Caenorhabditis elegans: one gene and its partners. The main gene of each other region encodes a partner of the protein of the gene in region 4 in a complex. Each region holds a gene or a part of one and is shown on either strand. Other genes may lie near its edges. The genes, in order: pat-6, pat-3, pat-4 and unc-52.

Region 1 (4,540 bases), on a different chromosome or scaffold from region 4:
AGCATTCTGTTTTTGTTCTGCACATATCTCTCGGGCAACCTGCAAAAAAAAACGATTTTTAATTAATTTTTCGCTAAAATTCAAAACAAACCGATATTCCGGAGTTCCATCGCCCCAATGATCATAGCAAAATTCGAGGCAAACGTGATATTGATTCCATTTATTTGGACAACCAGGTGCTCCTGCCGAATTCTCTTCGAAACTTTTCTTTTCTGGCTCTTTTTCATAGTTTTCAGCGATAACCTCTTCTTCTTGCTTTACAATTCCCCTTTTTTGAAGTCGAGCGAGAAGAGCTGGTGGAAGAGGCATTTTCTGTAAAATAAATACAATTTTATATACAATCAATTCATATTAATTAAAATAAAGAAACAAGAATAAAAGAATCGATGAGAAAATGCATTAAATTTTATTAATGCAAACGCGCCCCATTGCAAATCTCCTTTACGAGGGAGTTCAAATAGAGTTTTTTTTTCGGAATTTGCCAATTTCTTTAATTTAATATAGTGCTAAGTCTAAAAATTAAAAGATTTATTGACATAAATGCAATTTTAACAAAATTAAAGCACCATAGTTGTTGAGCCAGACACAAATTATTGGACGGTGTCGTTTGATTAGGATGACGAATGAAGTTCTCAGATTAGATATGTTTGTACTTAGTGAAAAGCAAATGGAGAAGACGGAGAGTGCTCTGCAATAAAGAATGAATTAGGATTGTATATAGAAAATCCATCGCATCAGATATGAGCAGAAAATTTGTTTTTGCCACTTGTTTAAAATTCTTCGGGATTGCTGAATCGTCGTGAAAAGAAAATTCGACAACTGCGAATGTAATCGCGCTTCAACCAAATGGCGATACCTAACGAGACCCAATTAAAGGAGGCGGGACATTTTCATTTCCGGCTGAAGCGCGATTACACTTTGATTTCAATCCCTTAAAATTTTGCACTATTTAAAATTGAGGATTGTAAATTGAATTAAATTAGGAAAATGGTATATTTTTCTGTAAATTGTCAAAACTACAAACCTTAACATCTCCATTGGCAATATCCTGAACACGAGATCTAGGCTTCTCAAGGCCAGTGTCTTCCATAAGTTTGAACGCAAATTGCACATTTTTTACTTTCTCCTCGTGGCTTTGAACTTGGAGATTAAAATGGTAAAGCGGGACGAAATAACCTTCAAGAAGTCCCACTAGGAGAACTAAGAAAACTCCGTCCTGGAATTGATTATCCAAATCAGACACCTAAAAATTTACAAATATCAGCTTCTTTGTAGCACAATGAAGTGAATAAACTTACTTCCAGATTAATTTTATTCAAATGCTTATTACAAAAAGCCAACAAAGATGTCTTCACATGAGCCAACTTATCGGGTCCATAATCGAAAAGCGTATCAAATGCGTCACGAGTGCCCTTCGGTGCCAACTCAGTTTGAACTGTAGTGATTTGCTCAGTAATTCGATGGGTCTTCACTTGACCATGTTCCTTTTGAGCCACCACAACGTTAGCAACCACGTTATCTGGGAATCGAACTGGAGCACGGTAGTGAAGAGCAAGAAGCACCAGGAGCTGGATGATGGCAGTGAAGTCCTGGGAATATTCTTTTATGAGAAAATATAAAATATGGAAAGTAACTCTGTTTATTCGAAAAGTACTGTTGCGTTCAACTATCGTATATTCTCAATAAGTTTTGCATCCAAAAACCACCTCGAAAATTAGTATTGCAGTTCACGAATTTCTATATAGATTACCAGCCGTGGACCTGGGGGTGAAAACTGATTTTTTCTGAAACTACAGTATTCCTACCGTACCACTATTGTGCCAATACAGTACTTCGACTATATCCCTACACTAACCCCAACTCACTATCCCAAGAAGCCAAAACTTCACAGACTACAAAGACTACATAGACTACAAACTATGGACACACAGAATAAGCGCTTTATATATAGTAAATGATGAATAGTATTGTGTGGCGGAGGTGTCCACAGATTAACATATCATACTAATATAGAATATACGGTAGTTTTTGGAACAGCTTCGAGTGAGAAACTCTTTTGTCTACAGTGCGTCAAACATCTGCACAATGAAATGTAAGACTGATAGAAATGAACAATTCAGACAAAGATTTGCGTACCTTTTGATGAATAAGATCCGCAGACCATTTCTCTTGTTCTCTTGGCTGTCCGAGAATTCGATTGGCTGTTTGAACTACAATTTGCAGTTTTTGACGTTGTCCTTCTTCTGACTGCGAAACTTCTGGAACCTCGATCTGTAACAAAACTGTGAGTGGAGAATTTATTCAATTTGTGAAATTGTACCAATAACTTACTCGAATCTGCTCCAACTTTTCCAACAGCTTCTGGATGATTTGACCATCGAAAAGATCTTCTTGCAAGTGACGAACGACAATTCTTTGATCAGCTAGCTCTTCATTAAGCCAGTAGATCAGCAAATCGACAACTTGTGCCAACTTCTGATCGCGGGCTGTTTCCTTAGTCAGATAACGACGAATTTCTCCTGGAAAAAAATATATTGGATAAATATATTGGTGAAACCGTTTACCTTCTTCCAACCAGATGTTTCTTGCAAGAACTGGGACCAATGACTGATCGAGAGCCTCACGACCTTCAAGTTCAAGCTGAAAAATCTATATTTGCTAAAACCATTAATTTGCAAAACTAACCTCCAAAACTTCATCTTCATCAGTAGCATGATGTGCACCCCCTTGGTTTCCATGCTCATCTTCCGGCGCCTTCTTCTTTCGAGAAAGGGTACCAGAGAGTTTCTCAAAGACTCCAGGCTTTTTTGGTTCGTCACGAGATGGGGTCTTACTACGACCAAGTGTTGACATGGTTATTGCTGAAAAGTTTAAAATTATTAAGGGGTAAATATTTGTTGATTCATAATAAAAAATAAAGTACAATTAGATATTGATAAGTTAAAAAAATTTTGAAGTCTCATTATGAAACTCTGTTTTGGAACATTTCCTCTTTAAGCACTTAAATTTAAATTTGAAAAATCGATAATTCAATGTTCAAATAGCAGTAAAAATATTGTGTGGGAGGATTCTTTCCGTAGAGCAACACAAAAGTCCCCATCCAGGCCAGCAGATAGTGTAAAACAGCCGTCGTCAGTGTTGAAAAAGTGAGAGAGTGTTGGGAACAATAAGAGACGTAGAGTTGGAAGGAGAGTTTACGACAAATGAGAGATTGGGTGAAAAGAGGATGGTGCAGATAAATGGTGTGTGTGGGGGAGAGAGAAGGCTTTGGGATACATATAAATGTATGGGAATAGGAAAGAAGAACGGAAAGTTAATATTTGTATATGCATATGTATTGAGAAAGAAAAGGACGTCCATATAACAACTAATATTCAAATAAATAAAAATAAAAATAAATTAAGAAAGACAACAACTCTGCATTTACCGTATTTTCGCTATTAGTCTTGCATGCGAGACTAATTTTCAATTGGTCTTTAGGGGTGCAAGACTAATAGAGACTGAAAACTATTTTTCGAACTTTGGAAAGTGATACAATTTTGACCGTTCAAACAATGAAAAATACATACTTTCCCAATATTACATCAATTATTTGAACGATTTTACATTTGATTTACTCCAAAAATGATAAATTTGCTTACGTTTCCACAAAGTTCTGCTAATATGACAAAAAGTGGGGTGCTAGACTATTACAGGCTGTAAGACTGATTTTCAATTAGTCTGTAGGAGTGCAAGACTAATAGAGGAAATACGGTACAGTCGGTCCACAGGTCGGTCTTTTGAAAATAGTTTTTTCCATAGCAATTTTTGAAAAAATTTTGAAAAACAATTTTAGGAAAAAATTATGAAAAATCACATCAGTTACATTGATTATACGTACGGTACATTCGATTTCCTGGCGTATGATAATAGTTGCATTAAACCGAAATCAGATTAAGAAACATTGAACTAGTAATTGTAAAAATTAGCATGCAATCTAGAAAATTAGGAAATCTGAAAATTATTAAAGGTGGAGTAGGGCCAATGGAGTAAGTGTTAAAAAATACTCCTATGGTGCCAAAGTGACAAATAATCATAATAAAACTTTTCAAAACTTTTTTGAAAAATTTTTATTCACTGTCAAAAAGTGTTCAATATTCAGTTTTTGCCACTCATAATTTTGGAAGTCGACCAAAAAAAATTATTTTTCCTACATTTTTTATACTGTAATTTTGTTTCAATTATTTTTGTTGAATCATTGTAAAGACCGGAATATGCGACATTGCTTTGGATGTCCTCAAAAGCTCATATTTGTCAAAATTTTGGTAATGTGCCAAAACTTTGACCGAAATTAGGGAAAATCTAAAAATTTTTGTAGTTTTATTATGATATTCGGTCGTTTGAAATCATAATAAGCGTATTTAGACAAAATCCCCATTGACGCTACTCCACCTTTAAATTTTTGAAATTTCGTGTACTTCCTTCAAATTTGTTTAATCATCAACCCGATGCGTCTATCCTTCGTTATCAACAAATTGTAGGTGTCTGTGTCAAGAACTAT
Region 2 (7,569 bases), on a different chromosome or scaffold from region 4:
CTGCGCTCTCTCATTTTTGTGCGTATTTAAGAAAAGTCTAGTCACTTCTCTATCTTTCTTTTTTCAATCCTACAATTCACGTCAAAAAAAACTTGTTTATTCTTTGAAGGAGGGTCAGATATTTGATTATTGTAGTCTCTAGCGTTTTTAAGTGGTAAATACTAAATTTTAAATCGGTTGATATGCAAAAAATAAATTAATCAGGCTTAATAACAGTTGTCAAACCACTTCGGGTCAAATACTTGAAACTTTTCGAACTTTTGGGAATCTTCTAAACTGAAAAATTGAAAATCCACACGGTAAATAGGATAAAAAGAATTCCAATTTTAAACGAAAAAATTTAAAGAAATTAAAAGAAATAAAAAATTGTCGTCAAGTTGAATGCTTTCTGTGCACTTGGATGCAAACACCAAGCTCCTCACTTTACGCGCAATTTTTTTTCCTTTTTATAATTTAAAAATATTATTTAACATGTCTTCTCAGATAGTTATGGCTAATATCAGTTTCAACCAAAAATTAAAAAGACAAAAAATTAATTTTTCAGATTTTTTTCATATAAAATTAATATTACATGAAAAATTCGAACAAGATAGTTCAAAAATAAAAGCACCATTGAAAATTGGAAATAGTACAAGAAGTGTGTGAGTTGTTGGTCGGTGTTAAGAGGGACAAAAGGCAATGAAAGATGAATATAAAGCAAGTCAATATATAGAGAAGGAAGAAAAAAATCCGTATTTAGAATGGGGTAAAAGCAGTGTGATGAACAATTGATGAAGGAAAAAAAAACAAAAAAATGGAGATTTTTTGAATAAAACAAAGAAGAATGTGACAATTTATCGCTAAATACTCGTTTCGAGTTGTTTGGATGGAGAAATTGAGCTTTCATATTAGAAAATTTGGGAAAATTATTAAAATATAAGGATAAAAACTATTTAGTTGGCTTTTCCAGCGTATACTGGATTTTTAAATGTTGTCGTGGCCTGTTTGTAGATTGGGTTCTCGTTCTGAAAAATGATAATTTGATAAATTTATATGTTTTTTGTTCCGTGTCACTTACCGTATCCCATTTGGCCATAAGCCTTTCGTTATTGAAAGTAGCGTATTCGGATCTATCATGAAGTACTGTGAGCAATTTCCAGAGCAACAAGAGAAGAATTCCGAGGATTACGATACCCGCAATGACTCCGAGCACAATTGCGAGCACAGGGACAGGTGGAGGACAATCTTTATGTTTTCTGACCCAGACTGTTGCATTATCTGTGGCCTCATCGTAATAGTAGAGATAATAGAATGTACAATCATCAGCTGGATCCACAAATTGGCAGGGTGTAGTTTCGTTGAGATCTGGAAATTTTAAAATTTCAAAATTTCAAGTTTTTTAATCGAGAAAAAAGGTTTAGAGAATTAGCAAAATTGCAATATTTACGTTTTAAGTATTATACACATTTTAAGGCAAAATCCATTATTTTCAGAAAAAATGTTTCTATTTTCCTGAAAATCAAGATTAAACGTTTAGAAAATTAACAAAAAGTGTAATATTTTAACAAATCAAATCAAATTTCCATTTAAAAAAAGAAGAAAAATGGGCAAAATTCCAAGCTATTTTTCGATAAATCAAAAGTTTTAGTTTTCCAATATTTCGAAAAAATATTTTAATATCTTTTTTTCTTTAAATTTTCCGATCAAACGTGTTTTTTTTTCAGAAATAAAATTTTCAAAAGTTTCTGACATTTAAAAAATTGATTTTCTGCTTTATCAGTATATTTTTTTAACTTACTGGGTAATTCCTCAACAGGAATAACTTTGAATTCACACTGATCACAGGCGGTCTCATTAAGTGGCCCTGTCTGCCATTGCTGGCACATTACACAATTCTTGTATTCCACACATTTCGTCGGACACGTCGGACAAATTTCGCATTTCGCTCCCGAATATCGATTTCCGTCGGGCGAATCGAAGCATCGACATCTTCCACAAATACATTCACCCTTTCCATTACAGATTTTTCCATTTGCAGAGAGGCATGAATCAGTTGAAATTGGGCATTCACAGGCTCTTCCAGTCCATCCAGGTGCACAAATACACTTTCCACAGTTGCATTCACCGTGTTCTGCACAGATTTTACGATCGTGTCGTGGGCAATTGAAGTTGTCGCATTCACAGAATTCTCCAGAGATTTGTTCTTCTGGATTGGCACGTGGATTACATTCACAACGTCCACAGTTACACACACCACGACCCTCACAGATTGCTGATTCGTTAGTTCTGGAAATTAGATCATTAGAATTTTTAAAAAAGAAAAAACGGAAAACAAAAATAGCTTAAATTTTTTAGCATTTTTGATAAACAATTTAATTTTTGTTAATTTTCTAACTTTTTTTCCAATTTTTTTGATTTTCTCTGAATTTTTTTAAAAAATGTAAGAAAGCAAAAATTATTTTCTAAATTTTCGAGCAAAAGTTTAAACTTCTGATTAGGCAACGACCTTTTTTTCGGAGTTTTTCCGGCAAATTTAAATGGATTTTCTCGTTTTTTCTTGTGATTCCATCGAAGGCGTCAAATTTTATCCAAAAAACCGAGAAAATTCAGTTGAAATTTTTAAAAAGAAAAAACTACAGAAAATCAATTTATTTGGAAATTTTCAAGGAATTTCAAAATTTTGTGATCTTAATTTTTATTCCAATCAATTTTCGATTAGTATTCCAGCCATAGAAGTTTTATAGCTTTTTTTTCGATTAAAATTTTTTTAATACTGCTCGGCCAATATATTTTTTAAAATTATTTCTCACATAATTTTCATGTTAAATTTTAAAAAAAACCATACCTTTTGCATTTTTCATTGAGCGCAGCAGTACTCATTCCAGGTCTATTACATTCACAATATTTTCCAACATTTCCTCCTTTGCATCGACAAACTCCACAAACCATATCTCCTCCGTTACAATCAGCCGAATTCGTCACAATTCTGTCTTGACGTTCACAATCACAATCGCATAAAACTTTAACATTAACGATAAGTGTCTCATCCAATCCAGATGGTCCGATACGGAGAACAAAATCACGTTTATCGATACAATGAGTATTTTCAAGGGTTACTTCGAATTGAACTTCATCTCCAACACGAATTCCCTCACAAACATTGGTATCTTTCAGTGTGGTTCCGCTGAAAAATTACGGTTATTTATAGGGTCAAATTTTAGAATAAAATTGTAATAATTTTAATAGTTTCGCTCCAAAATTGTGCTTTTTTTTAGTTTAAAACAATTTTATGTGAAGACTTTTTCGTCTAGAAACGTGAGAATTTAAGAGAGCTCAATTTTTCGATTCAAATTACTTTTTTTTTAATTTCGAGAAAAATGAATATTGAAAATTGCACGGCGAGGGCAATATTGTAGATATTTTACAATTATTTATATTGTTTTATGTAAAAGCGGATGAATCTGAAGGTTTCAACACCGAATTAACAGATTTTCACCTGAAATACCATAAATAAAAATTATATTACCAATTTTGAATGTTAAATACAAAAAAAGTAACAAAATAATCCAAAATCAGAATTTCAGCCAAAAACGCTTCTTCTCGTGGAGTACACGAAGCCTGCGTAAATCTACATGATCGAGGTCTTTCTCAATCTGTTTCTACAGCGTTTTTTTGTTTTTTTTTTAATTTTCAAAAGTTCCCAACTTTCATTTAAATTGAATATTATTCAAAAAACTCACTCCAAACACATAGATCTGTAAGTGAGCTTGAGTCCTTCTGAAGCATTTGCATTATCAACCATAATGATCTTTTCACTAATTTTCAAATATTCCTTCTCAATCAAATCGACAATATTTCTTGAATCATTAGCCAAAACTCCAACCGACGATGAAACATCTGGGAGTGCATTCGACAATTGTGTATACAAATCCTGATTGTTCTTTGTAACAGCAAAAATGACATTTGCCTTACGATCCTTGATCATTTGATGAAGAAGTGCAATTGATGGATAATCTTGATTAAGTGTTTCAGTATAATATCCTTCTCTATCTAAATGACATGTTCCATCATTTGGTTCGACGACACCTGCCAATCTTCCGTCTCCAGCGAAATGGAATCCAGCGTCAGTTGAGAAAACGATCATTTTACGAGCACGTTCACGCCACCCAATGGTTTTCTGAAATATTGATTTTTAGATTTTAAGCTTTCCCGATATCTCAAAAATGTTGATTTGATTCTTTTTGAATTTTTCTTTTAAATCAAATAACCACTTACATTACAAGCCAACGCCTGAACAACAGCATCGAAACCTCCTTCCGGAGCATCCAAATTTCCAGAAATTTCAGCTTTATCAACTTCAGCCTTGAACTTTGCCGTGTTCGTCGTCAATGACATTTGATGCTTGAATCCATATGGTTCTGCACATGGTGTTGGACACGGAGATAATTGTTTTTCGATTCGTGGATCGATGAATGGCATAAGTTTCTTGTCAATGAATGAACCGAATCCTAATCGGAAATTCTTTGTGACAGTTCTCATTCGTTCGGCGAGCAAGTCTCCGAGTTCGGACAGTTTCTGTTTGTCATCCTTCATGGAATATGAGAGATCCATCAAATAGTACAAGTCAACTGGATAATCAACGGCTTGACGGTAGGTCACATTGAAACGAACACGGGATTCTGAAAAAAAAACATTTAGATTGTTGTTGATATTGAAGAACTGGATTTAGAGAAAAATCTTGTGATTTTACAAGTTTTCGAGTCGCAGCGGTCACTAATTAATTTTTATTTTATAATCACCCTGAATTGCAAATTTTAGAAGTTTATCATTAATTCGTTGATTTAGGCATATTTTAAGCCCAAAAATCTCTTAAAATCCAAAAATAGTCAAACGAGCCTAAAATGTGTAAATCAACGAATTATGATAATAATAATAAATTACTTCACTTAATTGTATATTACAGGAGCTTTTTAAGATAAAAATTAAATAAAAAAGAGGCTGAAAATAACCAAAACCGGAAATATTTTAACTTTCCGCAAAAAAAATGCAGTACGATTTTTTTTTCAGTGTTTTTGAGACAATTTTCAAATGTGATTTTCAGCGGTTTTTGTTGTGAAAAATCAATGAAAAACATTTCTTTAATTAGTGCAAATTTTTCCTGAAAATTTAAGACTACGAAATTACCCTGAAATCTTCGTTTTTTTTGCTGAAACCCCAAAAAATTTTTTGTATTTTATTGATTATTTTCATCGAGTTTTTAAACGAATTATCTTTGAAAACCATATAAAAAACTTACTGGGCCGAATTTCGACGTACATCTCCTGTGGTTTGATCTGAACGGCTTCTTCCTCAGATTCAACTTGTCCTTGATCGGAGAGTTTACTGTCTTCAGTGATATCCAATTTTGTGGCCGGATCCTCGATATAACTGTTTGGACATCCATGTTCCATGAGCTTGGCACGGCTATCACAACGGGCATATGGCTTCTTCTCGTCGAACATCTGGAATTTTTTTTATTAAATAAAATAAATTCATGGTCTCAAGCATTTAACATACCGGTGCTCCACACCACGCGCAAGATTCATGATATTGAATGCACGCTGAGCATGTGTAATTGTCACGTGACAGACTGTAGCATGGGAATTCTGATTTTTCGACGACTTTTCCAGTGACTTCTCCAGTCTTCCAATCGCTTGCTGGTAAAGCGAATGGAAGAAGTGCTGCGAGGAGCAGCAATGATGTTGAAGGTGGCATTTGATGCCGGGTAGGTTCAACTGAAAAATTAATTAATTGGCTTTTAGTACATTGAGAACGGAGTAATTAGAAAAAAAAACGGTGAGATTAAAAAATGGTGTATTTATAAGAAAAATTGATGATGAAACTCTACAGAAACCTGATATCAAACTGCTTTCAACAGGTGGCAACTTTCATACAACTTTTGAAATTTTTAAAGCTCTCCAAAAAAGTTAGATTTTTTGAAAAAAATATTTTGATATAAAAATCAAGAATATCATACTAAAAATGGCACATCCCCAATTCATAATTTCTTCAGTGAAGAAAAAGTTATAATATAAAAGTTATACAATAAAAAATATATAGGAAATTTTGAAAGAAAATGACTTCTTGAAATATTAGTCACCATAGTAGGAAAATTTATTGTTTACTCAACAAACGGAGTGAATGCGGGAAGTATAACGGAGTCATGTTCTTTTTGTTAGAAAATTACATAGTTTTCGGGGGAAAATATAAAAAAACTTGCAGCGAGGAATATTGGAGTTCAGACAACTCGGATTTGAGAAAAATCGGTCGTGTCGAGACCGGGTACAGTATTTTCGGGAAACAATAACTTAATTCGGTATCTGCAGGCACACATGTGTAATGTATGAAATTTGAGATTTCGGGATAAAACTTCATCCGTTTAACATTTTTGGAAGTTATGCACATAACTTTTCAAACCTTAAAAATCGATAAAAGTATCAACTACGTCCACCGATCACCTCTTTTCGGAACGTGGGCGGATCTGCCAAGTGCTTCGACAGGAGCATCTCTCGCCTTCTCTCTCTTCACAACTGCCATCAACCCAGCAGCAGAATGCTCTTCGAAGAGATAGTGTAGGCGATAGAGTGCTCTATGTTGGCCGGGAGAGGGGCTCGGACCAAAGTGTAACGAGAGTTACACCTGCTTGTATCGTCGAAGAAACAAAGAAGACGAAGGGAAGAAAACCAAAGGGAAATGGGTGAAAAGGCGTTAGAATCGGGAGCTTCTAGAGACATCAGAGACCGATGAAATTGCGAAATTCACAGGAGGGGGTTTGATGTGGTGAGGAAAGGGATTTTTCGATAGTTTCAATATCGTTAGTTTGGTTCAAAAGTGGGAGTGGATTCTCATTTTGGAAGACATTCAAACAGGGATATTAGCTGAAACTAAAAAAAAGGATTTCACATTCTAGATCGACATTTTCCTTCTTTTTTTTGTGGTTTAATGAAATTTCTGACTATTTTGGGTATTTTTAAGCTTCCCGCTATTCCAAAAATGTTTAAACTCATTGCTGAACATCAAAACTGTTCCTGGTAAACTAGTTTAGGTGAAACTTTGAAGATAACTATAATTCTTGCTCTTACAGCTTATGAATGCACCTAGTAATTATTAAAATGTCAAAGTATAATTAATTTTAAAATGGCTGTCAAAAGTTATCATACAACGATATAACAATTTAGACATTGTGAAAAACGACGATTTCAACACTTAAATAACGAAAAGAGTAGAAAATAATAGCGTCTGAGTCATTCTTGTTCTAAATTTCCCACGCCCACCGTCTCCCGTCTCCAATCCATCAAATCGATAACAATCTGATAGGAACTAATTCAAAATCCAAACTGAATTGAAATTGAAATTGGGAGGAACAAAACGAAGAAGGGAACCAAGGGATGACAAGTAGTAAGACATCTGGTGCATACATATACTAGTATCCTCTGTCTCTATGTCTCTCTGTGTTCGTATTGCCCTTGTGTGTTTAATCATAGCACTAGCCCGGAATAAAAGAGCATTGAATCTGTGGAGAGACAGACACAATGAGAAGAGGGGTCGACT
Region 3 (7,759 bases), on a different chromosome or scaffold from region 4:
CGAAATTTATTAGAAAAATCTGAAAACTCACTGACATTTTGCGAAAAATTCCGAAAATTGGTTAAAAAATTTTTTTAAAAAACCTGGAATTTTCCAAATTTTTTTTTCTAAAAATTAAAAAATTCCGAAAAATCCTTTAAAATTTCTTACAGGGACCCTCACTGACTCCGCCCATTCGAAACTACGAGGCTCCGGACGGCGACTACATTGATACTACGAGAAATTGGGCATCTTAGAGCCGAAAATTGTTGATTTTTATGTGTTTTATGGGTATTTTTGTTGTAGACAGTGACATAGGATGACGCATTAATAAAGGAATTATCGATTTTTATGGAAAAAACTAAAAATTTCAGTGAAACCGAGCTGGAAAAAATAAATTTGCCACTGCGGGGATCGAACCCAGGCCCTGTGATTGGCGGGCGAGGTCACTAGCCACTAGGCTACACGTGCAAATTTTTGGCAACTGATTATTTGGATACATGAAACTTACTGCAGCGAACTTTTTTGTCGAAGAGTGTTTGCGTACAGTAATCCTTACATTTCATAAGATTTTATTGATTTTTTCATAAATTGAGCAATTTTTTTTGACAGTTTAACATTTAAAATTAATATATAGACGGAAAATGCGATGGGGCTGGACAAGGAGCAGGCACTTTTGATGTAAAGCTTTGATAAATTGAATTTTAAAAAAATTGTTGAAAACATTAGAAAAGCAAAATCGATAAATCATAATATCATTCTCTCTAAAATCGGAATGATTTGATCAAAGTTTGGCCGACGTCCCGGGTCCTCGTTCATGCAAATGTTCATCAAACGGTTCATATTACGGGCGATTCCAGGGGGAATGTGCACTCGGAGACCTTCCAGAGCGATCTGAAATTAATAAATTTGGATTCAGCGTGAAATTTGGGTCTGGAAACGCTGATTTTGGAGGTGTAAGGGGTACTGTAACCCTAAAAGTACGCAAACACTGAATCTGACGACGACTTGCAGAAAAGCGGTGGAAAATGAGTTTTTTGAGTTTATTGAGGTAGAAAGTGACGGGAAATTCAAATTTTTTGATAAAAATTATATTTGATCAAAATTATACGAAGAAATTCGAATTTTTTGACAAAATTTCAGAAAAAAATTTTGATTTTATCTCAAAATGTCAACAAACTGTGGTTCAATTCGAATTTCTCGCAAAATTTTGAGCGTGGTCAGTCGTTACTAGACGTTTCTATTCCATTTTCAGGGCTTTCGGGGTACTGTAGTCTCGGAAGTACGCAAACACCGAATCTTACGACATTGAGCCCAAACGAGCTAAAAAATGTTGTCACGGCCTGTTTTGAGCTTCTGAGTTTGAATTTAAGAATGAACACTTTTGAAAAAAATAATAGAAAAACAATTTTTTTTGGGCCAAAAAAAAATTTTTTTCCAAAATTTCATCCGAAATTAACTGATAGATTAATTTTAGGATTTTAACATCATTTTTCACACTTTCAGCCCTCCAAAAACCCTCCCTTACCTTCATTCCGCATTCCATTGGCGGTAGATCAGAGAATGGGACCTCACGAGTGTTCAGCTCCCACAACAATATAGCAAATGACCACATATCGGCAGCTCTAATATTCAAGTCTTCTGGAGCCCGTGACAAGGCTTCTGGGCTCATCCAGGCAGGCGAATAGGCTTTTCCGACCTCTTGGAACGAGAATTTCGTATCTGCCATTGAGAGTTTGGCGGTGAGCTCCTCGTCGACTACAACGTGTTTGGAGGAGAGGTAGAACCTGGAAACTGGGCTTTAGGCTTATGATAGCTTAAATTATCTGAAACTCTAAAATTAGTTAAGAAACGTAAAAAAATGGGGGGAAAATTAAAAAATTAAAAAAAAAAAAAAAAAAAATTTTTTTTAAGTTTTTTTTCGAGTAGTGCCCCAAAAACTCTTGGATTCCTGAAAACAATTTTTGAAAATTTTTGTTGTAGCTACTTTTCGAAGAACATTATTTCAGGCACATTTTAAGCCAAAAACCGTTTGAAAGTATCAAAAACTAAAAAAGTTATGAACTTTTGAAATTTGGAAAAAAAAATCCAAATTTTTTTAAAAACATAAAATTCAAATTTTCCCGCCAGAAAAATGGGCGGAGCCTATAAAAATTTATACTTTTCTGGGAGCTCTTTTTAAGCTCCATTCAACCACACTAACCTCAAAAGCATAGGGTCCAAACTGTGCAAGTAGCTCATTCCTCTAGCAATGTCCAACGCGAATCTGACGGCTTGCCCGTGATCAATGACGACAGCTGCAATATTTTATTGATTTTATTAAATTATTTCAGCGATTTTTCACAAATTAATGTCAAAATCTAATAGATCTCGTTAAGAGCTTTCAGAAAAGTATAATCATGCCTAGGCTCCGGCCATTTTAGCATGAATTCGAGAATTTTTGGGTCTCGCCACGAAAACTGTTGGGTTACTGTAGATAAGTTATCTAATATGATATTGATAATTTTACTAAAAAGACAATTTTTTGAGTTATCTGTGCGCAGTATTTTAACAAAAAATCTCAAAAATTGGGAAAAGTACAAATTTTGAAAAAAAAAAATTTATCAAAAAAAAATTTTTTTCTACTTTTTCGAAATCAAAAAAAAAAATTTTCAAAACATTTTCTAGGACTAATTTTTGCGCCCTTTTCAATGAAAACCTTCAAAACTCACAACTTTGCTCGTGGAGCACGTTATACAGGCTTCCAAATGGCATGTACTGCGAGATGATCACCAAGTTCGGTGGCTGGTTAGCCGCGGCGAGCACCGCACAAATATTCGGATGAGCAAAAATACGAAGAGCCGGAAACTCGGTCTGGAAGTCACGTGAGATACGGGCGGTCACTTCTTGAACATTCAAAATTCGCGCCACAATATCGTTGCCCTGCCATTTTCCACGCCACAGTTCTCCGGAGTGTGATTCAGCGATCTGTAACAGAGTGGGGGTTAAGCTGGAAATTTTTGGGATTTTTAAAGTTTGAGGTAGCTTATCAAGTTCATCTTGATCTAGACTTTCAGAAAAGTATACATTTACTCAGGTCAAAAAAAATTTTTATTTCGAAAATGAAGTTTTTTTTTCAAACATTTCAAATCTTAATAACTTTGCCAATTTTTAAGATTTTTTGCAGATTTTTGACATAAAACACGTATAAAATATTGAAAAACAGTATTATTTATATTAAATAATAATATACACTACGGTAAGTGAATTCTGGAAGTTTACGTAGCGGGTTCCAATTTTCGACGAGTTTTTGAGTCCCACCGCGAAAATCCATAGTGTTAAGCTGTTTTGTGTCAATACAGTATTTTAATATTTTATTGACGTAGAACAAGTTTTTGTGCATATTTTGAGGTTAAAACCGGCTGAAAATCTCAAAAACAGTCAAAGTTATGATTTTTTCAATGTTTGAAAATTTTCCTTAAAAAATTTTTTTTTTCGAATTTTTTCAGAAACTTCGAAATTCGCGGAAAATTCCCATCCTTCAACGATTGAAACTAATTTTTTACGCTGAATTTGAATTTTTAAGTTATTTTCCACTGAAAAAATCTATAACCCACTTTAGTGATCAAATTCAGCGAGGAGACGTCGACTCCGGTGTAGCGGGACAGTGTGGCGTCCCGAGTACGGGACTTTGTACCCTTCCATGTGGTATCCTTGAATGGTACACGGTCATTTGGAGATTGTCCATGTTCTTGAGCAATTTCTAGAAAAAATCGATAATTTAAAAATTTATTAGAAAAAAGTCATCCCAAAAAAAAAACTTTTTGCGAGTCAAAAGTCTTTGCTGAAAAAAACATTAAATTTTTGTACACATTATTTTTAAGTATCAAAATTAAATTTTGCTCACCAAGAGCTTTCTGAAAAGTATAATCATGCCCAGGCTCCACACAAAATGAGCATTGCCCAGAAGACTTCAGAATTTTTGGGTCTCACCACGAAAACTTATAGGGTTACTGTAGTTTATGTTTTTCAATTTTTTAAGTTAATTTACCAAAAAGCTTGATCTTTTAGACTTATTTTAACGTTAAATTAAATCGAATCGCTTGAAAACTAAAAAGTTATGAGTTTTTGAAAAGTTGTAAAAATGTTGAAAAATGTTTTTTTTTTCAAAAAATGCATTTTTTCTTCTAAAAATCTTATCTATATGTTTTCCGACTAAAAAAATTCAATTTTCAGATTAAAATGCACAAAAAACTTACCCAAAATAGTGTTTTTGCACATTGGCTGGCAAACGTCCAGTGGGGTCATTCCCTTCTTGTTGCACACGTTGACAGCGGCGCCGCAGGAGATTAGGTCCTGAAGTTGTTATTTTGCAAGAAATCAAGGTAATTATTAACAAATTCAAATTCAGCTTGTTAAGAGCTTTCAAAAAAGTATAATCATGCCCGGGTTTTGAAAATTCTACAAATTTTCGATAAATTTTTGGGTCCCGCCACGAAAACTCCCAGGGGCTACTGTAAATAGGGACTTTTTGTGTTTTTGGTATAATAAATTGAAATTTTAAAATATTTAGGACGCAAGTATGAAAACATAAAAAAAAATAGCCAAAAAACTTCCAAAGTTATAAAGTGTTGAAAAAATGATTTTTTTTTCAGAAATTTTTTCCGGCAAAAAAAAGCTCAAAATTTTTGGTCAAAAGTGGGCGCATCCTTTATGAATTTATACATTTATTAAAGCTCAAATCTAGTTATATTTGATTATAAAAATAATTTCACCTAAACTATACATTTTCATTGCGAAATTAAAACTTTCCGAGAAGAACTTATTCGAAAATTTGGAAAAAAAATTTTCTGAATTTTTTGAAAAATCATTTTTTTCCAATTTTCCCAAAAAATTTTCCCAATCGAGTTTATACTTATTTTGAAGCTCTAAACAAGCTCTATTCGAATTTATCAATAAAATCACCTCAGCAATTTGTTCATATCCCCAAAAGCAAGCATAATGCAGTGGAGTCATTCCGTGCTCGTTGGTAGCGTTAACATCGGCTTTTCTCGACAAAAGCTTCACCACAATTTGTCGGTGTCCATGGGCGGCCGCCAAATGCAATGACGTGTCATCTCCCATATTCGTAGAGTTTACACGTGCTCCACGTGACAGGAGCATCTCTGCAATCGCCACGTGGCCGCCCTTCGCGGCCCAGTGGAGCAGTGAGAAGGCGTGATCGTCTCCGACGTTGAGATCGTGCTCGTGATCGTCCAACCAGACGCGGACCTGAAATTTTGATAGTAGTCTTAGTCTATAGTAAGGATTGTGATAAATCCTCTGCAAAAAAATTGGACAATTTCGGTGAAAGTTGATCAAGTTAGCATGAAAAGAAAAATCGGACAAAAATTACCGGAAATTCCAGATTTAAGCTTAAAATCTAGCTTTAAACTTGATTTTTCAAATTGGCAACAATTTTTTTCAAATTCAGCTTAATTTTAACTTTTAGAAAAGTATAAATTTGTATAAGCTCCGCCATTTTAAATAGGAATTTAAATTTAAAAAAAAAAAATTTTTAATGAATTTTTTTTTTAGAAAATCTCAGAATTTCGGATTTAAATTTAAATTTTTTTAATTGAGGAAAAACATTAACTTTCAAAAAAGTATAAATTCATATACGCTCCGCCCACTTTTCAGCGAAAAAATTTGAATTTTTCTAGAATTAAAAAAAATAATTTCCAAACATTTTCAATTTTTTTCCAAATTTTTTTTTTCAAAAACCTATACAAAATTATACTTTTTCAAAAGCTCTCATCGAGCCTAACCCCATAAAAATATTTACAAAACTCACCTGAAAAGCGTTACCCTCGCGGACCCATCCAAACACATCCTCCATTATAATGGGCACATTTGGCTTGTGCGCATGGTAATGAGTCGACAAAGACATTGTTGACTGGAAATATAAGGTTTTACGTGTGAAATAGTGTAAAATTTGAAAAAATCAAGAAAAATTGAGCAGGAACATGTAAAATTACAACAAAAAAAATCGGTGAAAATTGAAGAAAAAAACTATTAAAAAATCAATAAAAATCTCCAAAAATTTCCAAATTTTCTCAATTTTTCCAACTTTTTCCCGGGCCCCATGAAGCCCGGAATCTATAATTTCAAGCCAAAAAAGTTAGATATAAGAGACATAGACAAATAAACAATGCAATAAGTACAACAGAAAGCAGTAGAATTTTGCTGAGGCGACGGCATGGGGGGGGGGGGGTCAACATTGTTCCCCCGCTGGCCAGGCGAGATAGTAGAGGACTATGTAGGAGACGCAGAGAACAAGACGAAATTTGTTGTAAATGTATGTATTGTGGAGAGGGAGTAGTATCCCGCGCAGAGAACAAACGGCAAGCGATTGTGGGATATCTTTTCGTTGACCATTCCGTCGTCTAGAGGTTGGCTCAGAAAAAGCTCTGAAACTTCGCTTGAAATGAGCTTCTGGTCTTGAATGCTAAGAATTTGAAAAGATGAGAATTCGGGCTTTCAGAAAAGTACAAATTTGCCTGGATTTTGCCTGAAAATTTTTATCAAAAAACCGGCAAATTCGCTTCTAGGACATTTTCCAATTTTACCTTTCACAGCTAACTCCTGAAAAAGCTCTAAAATTTGGCTGAAAACGAGCTTCTGGTCTTGAAAATTCAAAATTTGAATAGGAAAATTTCCGAGCCATCAGAAAAATATTAATTTATGGTAACTTTCTCTTAAAAATTTTGAGGAAATCGTAATTTTTGCTCTGAAGCTCCGCAGCGAGTTTCAGAAGAATTACTGTAACTTGGCTGAAAATAGTTCGACAAAGTTATACCTAGTTTCATTAAATTAAGCAGTTTAAGGGTTTTCAGAATAGTATAAATTTGCTAAAAAAGCTTTAAAAAACCCCAATATTCCAAAGGACTTTTTTGATTAAAAAAGTAATTCAAAAAAAATTTTCACGTTATTTCAAAGCCCCCATCGCACATTTTTGTGCCCAAAAGATCTGTAAATTTTTCCTCTACAGCACTGAAAAGTTATGTATCAATTCCTGTAAAAACTCTTGAAATTCCTAGCGTTTTCGTGGCGGGACCCAAGTTTTTTTAGCAATTTTCTTCTCAAAGACTGGGTTTACAAAATACCTGAACCCGGAGCATAACGAAAAATTGTGAAGCTTAACAAAGTTACCACTTCACAATTGCAGCACTAAAATTCAATGACGTTTTTCAGACAAAAAACCATTTTCAGACGCTTTTCCCAAAACAGCCAAGAAAGGGCCTAACGTGGCCTAACATCCCAAAATTTTGCCACGTGGCAGAAAAATAACGGAATATCATATCACTAGAAAGTATATCATAAAATTGAGTTGGTTTTGAGGGGGCGAGAAGCTCATCGGAAGAAGGTATTCAAGAACATTTGAGAGAAAGAGAAGAGACGGGGGAGAGAGAGTGTGAAATGCAGTGAGAGACGCAGAGATTTGGTTCCCGTGGGAGTCGTGTGAGTTAGAGATAAAGAGATATGGAGAGAGATAGGAGACGCAGAGAAGCAGGGACGGATGTTGTAACACGATTCTCGGATGGAAACTGAGCATTGATGATGATGATGCCAAGGATTTTGGGGACCGGGAGGGTTGCGTAGAAAATTATTGATTTTCTGACAATTCCAGCGGGGGGAGTCGGAGTGTCCCATTTCGGTTTGATCTACGTAGATCTTCTACAAAAAATGCGAGAGAAGAGCCGCAGAGTGTTCTCAACTGATTTAGCAACGTGCTGACGTCACATTTTTTCGAGCTAAAAAT
Region 4 (4,665 bases):
CCTTTTATCAGGAGTGTGCGGCAAACGATTTTTCTGGCAAATCGGCAATCCGGCAATTTGCCGATTTGCCAGATTTGCCGAACAGCAATTGCCGCCCATTCCTGAATTATTTAGTGCATCTACAGTAATATCTTATAGAGTATCCATACAGGCTCTGGAATACTACTGTATTGCAAAAATGCGGTCTTTTTGTGGGTCCAATGTATCCCTACGATTTCCCTACTGTAGTTTCACAGTACAACTTTGTTGAATTTAAAATTCCCCAACCCCTTACCTTTTCATCAGAACCATCATGGCAATCTTTCCATCCGTCACAGACGACGACAGTTGGCACACAAACATTTGTGGACTCGCATCGGAACTCATTCGATTTGCATTGCACTTCTGTAATAAGTCAAGTCGACGAAAGATTTTCTCAAGCACGGAGCACAATTTTTCAATTTTTCCTTGAGCATTTTCTCCTACAAGTGTGCGAAAAACAAAACAAGTGTGCTGGTCAAATGTTTAACTATTGTTTCTCCGAGCACACACACACACATGTGTGTGTGTGCTCTTTTCGTCCCCTCTCACCTTGTTGGAATAACCGGGTCTACTGGCTGCTTTTCAACTAAAAATTATTGGAAATGAGTCATTGATCTATCTTCCATTTTTTGGTACTAGTATTTTTCTCACAATGAAAAACATCAATTATTACATTCTAAGGAGCGAGGTAGTATCTAGCACCTATTATAACGAAATGTTCAATGTATTTTATGACTAAGAGGCCCCCTACCAGAGCAATGTTCCTCGTCATCACCATCTGGGCATTGAACTCGGCGATCACAGAATTGGGCGACTGGAAGGCAATGTCCAGATTTACAGGCACGCTCCCCGCTTGGGCATTCGTCGGATTCGGTGGCGACACGGTCGGAGGTGATGCGGACCTGAAATTGAACATTTTATGAATAGCTAAAAATACTGTAAATGGAAATTGGTTCTGATCGGTTTCGGAATAATGAAAAATTTTGATTTTAGAAATTTTCAAACATATTTTCACTTGTTTGAAGTCCTTTAAGTTGAAACACAATGTATCAAAATATGCAAATCGGAGAAGAAAAATTTTTTAAAAAATGGACCAAAAAATTCATGTGCAAATATAATAGTCGTTGAACCTCTCAGTTACAGTTTTGCCAATATTTTTGGAAATTTAAAATTTTAAAGGAAGTTTCAAACCATCAATGATAGCATATATGGAAACCCCTTTCTTAATATTTTTCTCAAATTTCCTGAATCACTTTCCAACGCTTACCTCAAAATCAGCCTCCACATTTATTCCTTGCACAATCATTTTATAAGTTCCATCATCTGCGTCGGTGGCGTTGATGATATGAAGATGATGTTTGTCTCCTTTTTTGTAAACCGTCACACGCCCGTCTTCTGCCAAGGTCATCGAGCCAACTCCAAGAAGAACGCTGTCTTTGGACCAAGCAATCTGGAATAATCAATAGTTTTACACAATATTAAAAGATTTTTCGGAGCATTACCTCAATTCAAAAGTCAATTAAGAAACTTTTTTTTTAATTATCAACATAGCTTGGAATTAGAAAATTAAGCATAGCCTCCAATCATGTAGACACTTTTTTATAATCAAATAAAGTGTATACGAACCTTATTATCCTCTACCGAACTATCAATTGAAGCCGAGAGATGGATGGATCCATGTTTCTGAGCGAAGACAACTTTCTCAGTTTGATGGATGATTGGTTGATGCTGCTTGCATTTTCCATGCTCCTTGTGCTCATCTGATCCATCTGGACAGTTGCGTCTTCCATCACAACGTTGATCCGCCGGGATGCATGACTTGTCAAGGCATGTGAATTCTGTGGTGGCGCAGGCTATTGACGAGTCTGCAATTTTTGGTAAAGTAAGATTTTTCAGGCGACTGAATAATTTTAACATATAAAACAACACACAACAACACACAACAACACACCTCTTACAACATGAAGCTCAAAACCCTCATCGGAAACCGTAAGGTTCCCAATTTTTCCAGACTTTATCGCGGACAACAACACATCAGACACCAGTGGTGACTCTTTTTCAGCGTACAAATCCACGTAGACAAGAGATCCAATGATTTTGTGATATCTGGAAGTTACAACAACATATAGGTACACACACATGTACATACATACGCATGTATTTACACAAAATACTCTATTGTTGACTTTCTCTCGTGGGAGGAAGCGACCGTTTTTTTTTTGTTAAGAATTATCAGAAAACATGACATTGGAATTTGGAAGAATTATTTGAAAACTTTAATATATACTTTTTAAAATTAAGCTGCAGAAGTATGCCTTCTAAATTAGTATTGTTGAATTTTGAATGACCGCGGACTCCGGACCTCGGACTTCGGACCTCGGGCTTCGGGTTCCGTTCTCCGGACGATGGACTCCGGGCTCTGCACTCCGGACTCCCAATTTTGGAACCCGGGTCTCCGAACTTGCGGATTACGGACTCTGGGTTATGGCCCACGGGCAACAGTTACGGGTTTGGATTACGGACTGATGGACATTTTGTAATTTTAAGATTCCGCAAAAAAGTAAATATGTGGAAATTAGGGGAGCAATTTTAGAATTTCTTGAAAAGTGAAAAACGCCCAAAATTGTCGATAACCTTTTTCACTCAAAACTCACTTATAATCGGCAACCTTAGCTGTATGCCTTCCTTCTAGATCCTTGACCAACTCTTGAATAGAATGAGCTATATCTCTAGATGTGCTCACGAACTCATCGCTCTCAACGTTCTTCAACTCCTGAGTGTACGGTAGTTCGGGAAAGTTGATGGTCAACCGGTAGATGACCGTCAGTGAAACGACGGAGAACAGCGAAAACGCCATCCCCCCTAACTAGTTGACGGGGGGTATAAATGAGCAGTAGGTCAGTTTTAAAAAAAGAAAGTAAGGAGATAGAAGGTTGCTAGACAGAGGCGCGCGCTGACCGTCGGCGGCGGCGAGGCACAGCGGCACAGTTGCAACTTCTTAGGCCCCGCCCACTTTTTTAGGAGAAGCTTCCACCCTCCTTCTTCTCTAACTGAATTTCTTTCCTGACTCAGGTAAATATTTGCATTTTAGAGCCGCCTCTCTTGTTGCGCCTGCGCGTCTCGCAACTAGCATAAACACATCACACACACTCACACTCACTCACACACTCACATACTTGAATAGCTTGTCATGCACCACGTTGGACGGAGTATCATGGTATATAACCGTCTCATAATATATAATATAGATTCGCATGTTTCTTGCTTATTGTTATTATATTAGACGCGGTTGCCGCTATTGGGGGTGCAAGTTTGAAAAGAGCTAGAAAATTTGGTAGCATTGGTGTTTGAGAAAATATTTCCAATTCTAATGCGTTTCTGGCCATTAGCTGACAGTAACCAAATCATACAGTTCTCATGTATACTTTCTAAAGCAATTCCAGTGTGTTTAAGCTTCAAATCTAGCAGTCCTCATTTTATGTAAAACTACATAATTTCCAGAAAAGTACAAAAATTCAACAGAACATATAAAATATGTTGATGTTGCATGAATACATAGTTGCAAAACCACAATTTTCCTAAAATTTTCAATTTTGGCAACTGCCAAAAATAAAATTTGTCGGCCACTCTCTTGATACAGAGTGAATCCACAGTACCTGGCGTTTCACGTCAAGTGCATTTGAGTGTGCTACCATAGTCTTATCGAAAGACTTTTGTACATACAATAAACCTAGCCACTTCGTGATCAATTCATGAATTTCAATTCAAAACAACTCTATATTGCAAATTTCTGAATTCTAGGATTTTTCTAGGAAGGCGGTGAAAACCATGTACAAAGCTTCGCCTTTTTCAAGTTGCTCCGGCCCGCGTGCACTTTTGATTTCATTTGGCAAAAAGAGTTTTTGTTGCAATACCCGCCCAAACCATCATATATCCTGTCCAAACAAAATATCCCCAAATCTTTTCCGACATACACAGGTCGTCGTCATCTCATCACTCGACGAGAGTTCCCCGATCATCAAACCTCATATTGGTGGCTCGTCTTTTCCGTCCGATTTTCACATCCTCAAGTGTTTATAAATAGAGGAAGAATCATCTCCCAGAGGTTATAGCTTTGACTATATATATTTCATTTTCCCATACCTTTTATAATCACTGATATCGCCACCTCACCAAAGAAGGTGGCGAAAACTGTCGAAACCTTCCGATTATATAAAAGTACCCCCACAAATATTGACACAACAATTGGACAGTCTTCAAGCCGATTTAAGGGAGGAACGGTAGCTGCTTGGAATGGGGGTAGTAGGTTAAAAGGTGAAAAGCGGCGAGGAAAAAGAGTGGAAAATTGGTGGAGAGCTGGGAGAATTGTTTGCTGATTTTCGCACTATCCCTATACTTCTTGCATCTAAAAGTGCAAATCTTTTGGGGAAAGCTGGTGAAAAAAATTGGGAGTTAATTAGAGGAAAAAACAATTGGAACAAACACAAAATTTTCAAGAGAAAAAATATGATTTTTTGAGTACAGTGAGTAAATATATGAAAGTGAATAAAATTTTTTTAAAAATGGCAAAAATAATTTAGCAATTTTCGAAAAAAAAAGTTTTTAAGCCCAAACAAAACCATAACACAAAGCATTTTGAAAAAA

What was found.
Region 1: unc-52 (region 4) and pat-6 share a complex: the UniProt entries of both Caenorhabditis elegans proteins name them as parts of the integrin containing attachment complex.
Region 2: unc-52 (region 4) and pat-3 share a complex: the UniProt entries of both Caenorhabditis elegans proteins name them as parts of the integrin containing attachment complex.
Region 3: unc-52 (region 4) and pat-4 share a complex: the UniProt entries of both Caenorhabditis elegans proteins name them as parts of the integrin containing attachment complex.

What each region holds. Positions count from the first base shown.
Region 1 is NC_003282.8:261,372-265,911, forward strand, and holds pat-6 (Paralyzed arrest at two-fold protein 6), read right to left. Parts: upstream 2,862-4,540; 5' UTR 2,854-2,861; coding exon 2,686-2,853; intron 2,641-2,685; coding exon 2,565-2,640; intron 2,520-2,564; coding exon 2,332-2,519; intron 2,272-2,331; coding exon 2,137-2,271; intron 1,590-2,136; coding exon 1,299-1,589; intron 1,244-1,298; coding exon 1,025-1,243; intron 689-1,024; coding exon 638-688; 3' UTR 515-637; downstream 1-514. Other genes in the region: pqbp-1.1 (WW domain-containing protein), read right to left, coding at 1-39, 92-309. UniProt on the Caenorhabditis elegans protein: Involved in the regulation of cell adhesion and cytoskeleton organization. Component of an integrin containing attachment complex, which is required for muscle development and maintenance.
Region 2 is NC_003281.10:3,908,397-3,915,965, forward strand, and holds pat-3 (Integrin beta pat-3), read right to left. Parts: upstream 5,754-7,569; 5' UTR 5,734-5,753; coding exon 5,536-5,733; intron 5,481-5,535; coding exon 5,276-5,480; intron 4,659-5,275; coding exon 4,255-4,658; intron 4,157-4,254; coding exon 3,720-4,156; intron 3,164-3,719; coding exon 2,825-3,163; intron 2,266-2,824; coding exon 1,778-2,265; intron 1,345-1,777; coding exon 1,058-1,344; intron 1,005-1,057; coding exon 933-1,004; 3' UTR 535-932; downstream 1-534. UniProt on the Caenorhabditis elegans protein: Integrin alpha ina-1/beta pat-3 is a receptor for laminin. Integrin alpha pat-2/beta pat-3 recognizes the sequence R-G-D in its ligands. Plays a role in cell migration, morphogenesis and probably in cell-cell interactions.
Region 3 is NC_003281.10:88,917-96,675, forward strand, and holds pat-4 (Integrin-linked protein kinase homolog pat-4), read right to left. Parts: upstream 5,894-7,759; 5' UTR 5,888-5,893; coding exon 5,792-5,887; intron 5,230-5,791; coding exon 4,924-5,229; intron 4,315-4,923; coding exon 4,218-4,314; intron 3,722-4,217; coding exon 3,576-3,721; intron 2,947-3,575; coding exon 2,691-2,946; intron 2,277-2,690; coding exon 2,183-2,276; intron 1,767-2,182; coding exon 1,508-1,766; intron 874-1,507; coding exon 727-873; 3' UTR 537-726; downstream 1-536. Other genes in the region: mrpl-40 (Large ribosomal subunit protein mL40), read left to right, coding at 153-236. UniProt on the Caenorhabditis elegans protein: Probable pseudokinase that acts as an adapter protein. Component of an integrin containing attachment complex, which is required for muscle development and maintenance.
Region 4 is NC_003280.10:14,681,419-14,686,083, forward strand, and holds the start of unc-52 (Basement membrane-specific heparan sulfate proteoglycan core protein), read right to left. Parts: upstream 3,039-4,665; 5' UTR 2,879-3,038; coding exon 2,676-2,878; intron 2,128-2,675; coding exon 1,973-2,127; intron 1,887-1,972; coding exon 1,648-1,886; intron 1,472-1,647; coding exon 1,289-1,471; intron 924-1,288; coding exon 773-923; intron 385-772; coding exon 275-384; intron 1-274. UniProt on the Caenorhabditis elegans protein: Component of an integrin containing attachment complex, which is required for muscle development and maintenance. Probable structural role in myofilament assembly and/or attachment of the myofilament lattice to the cell membrane.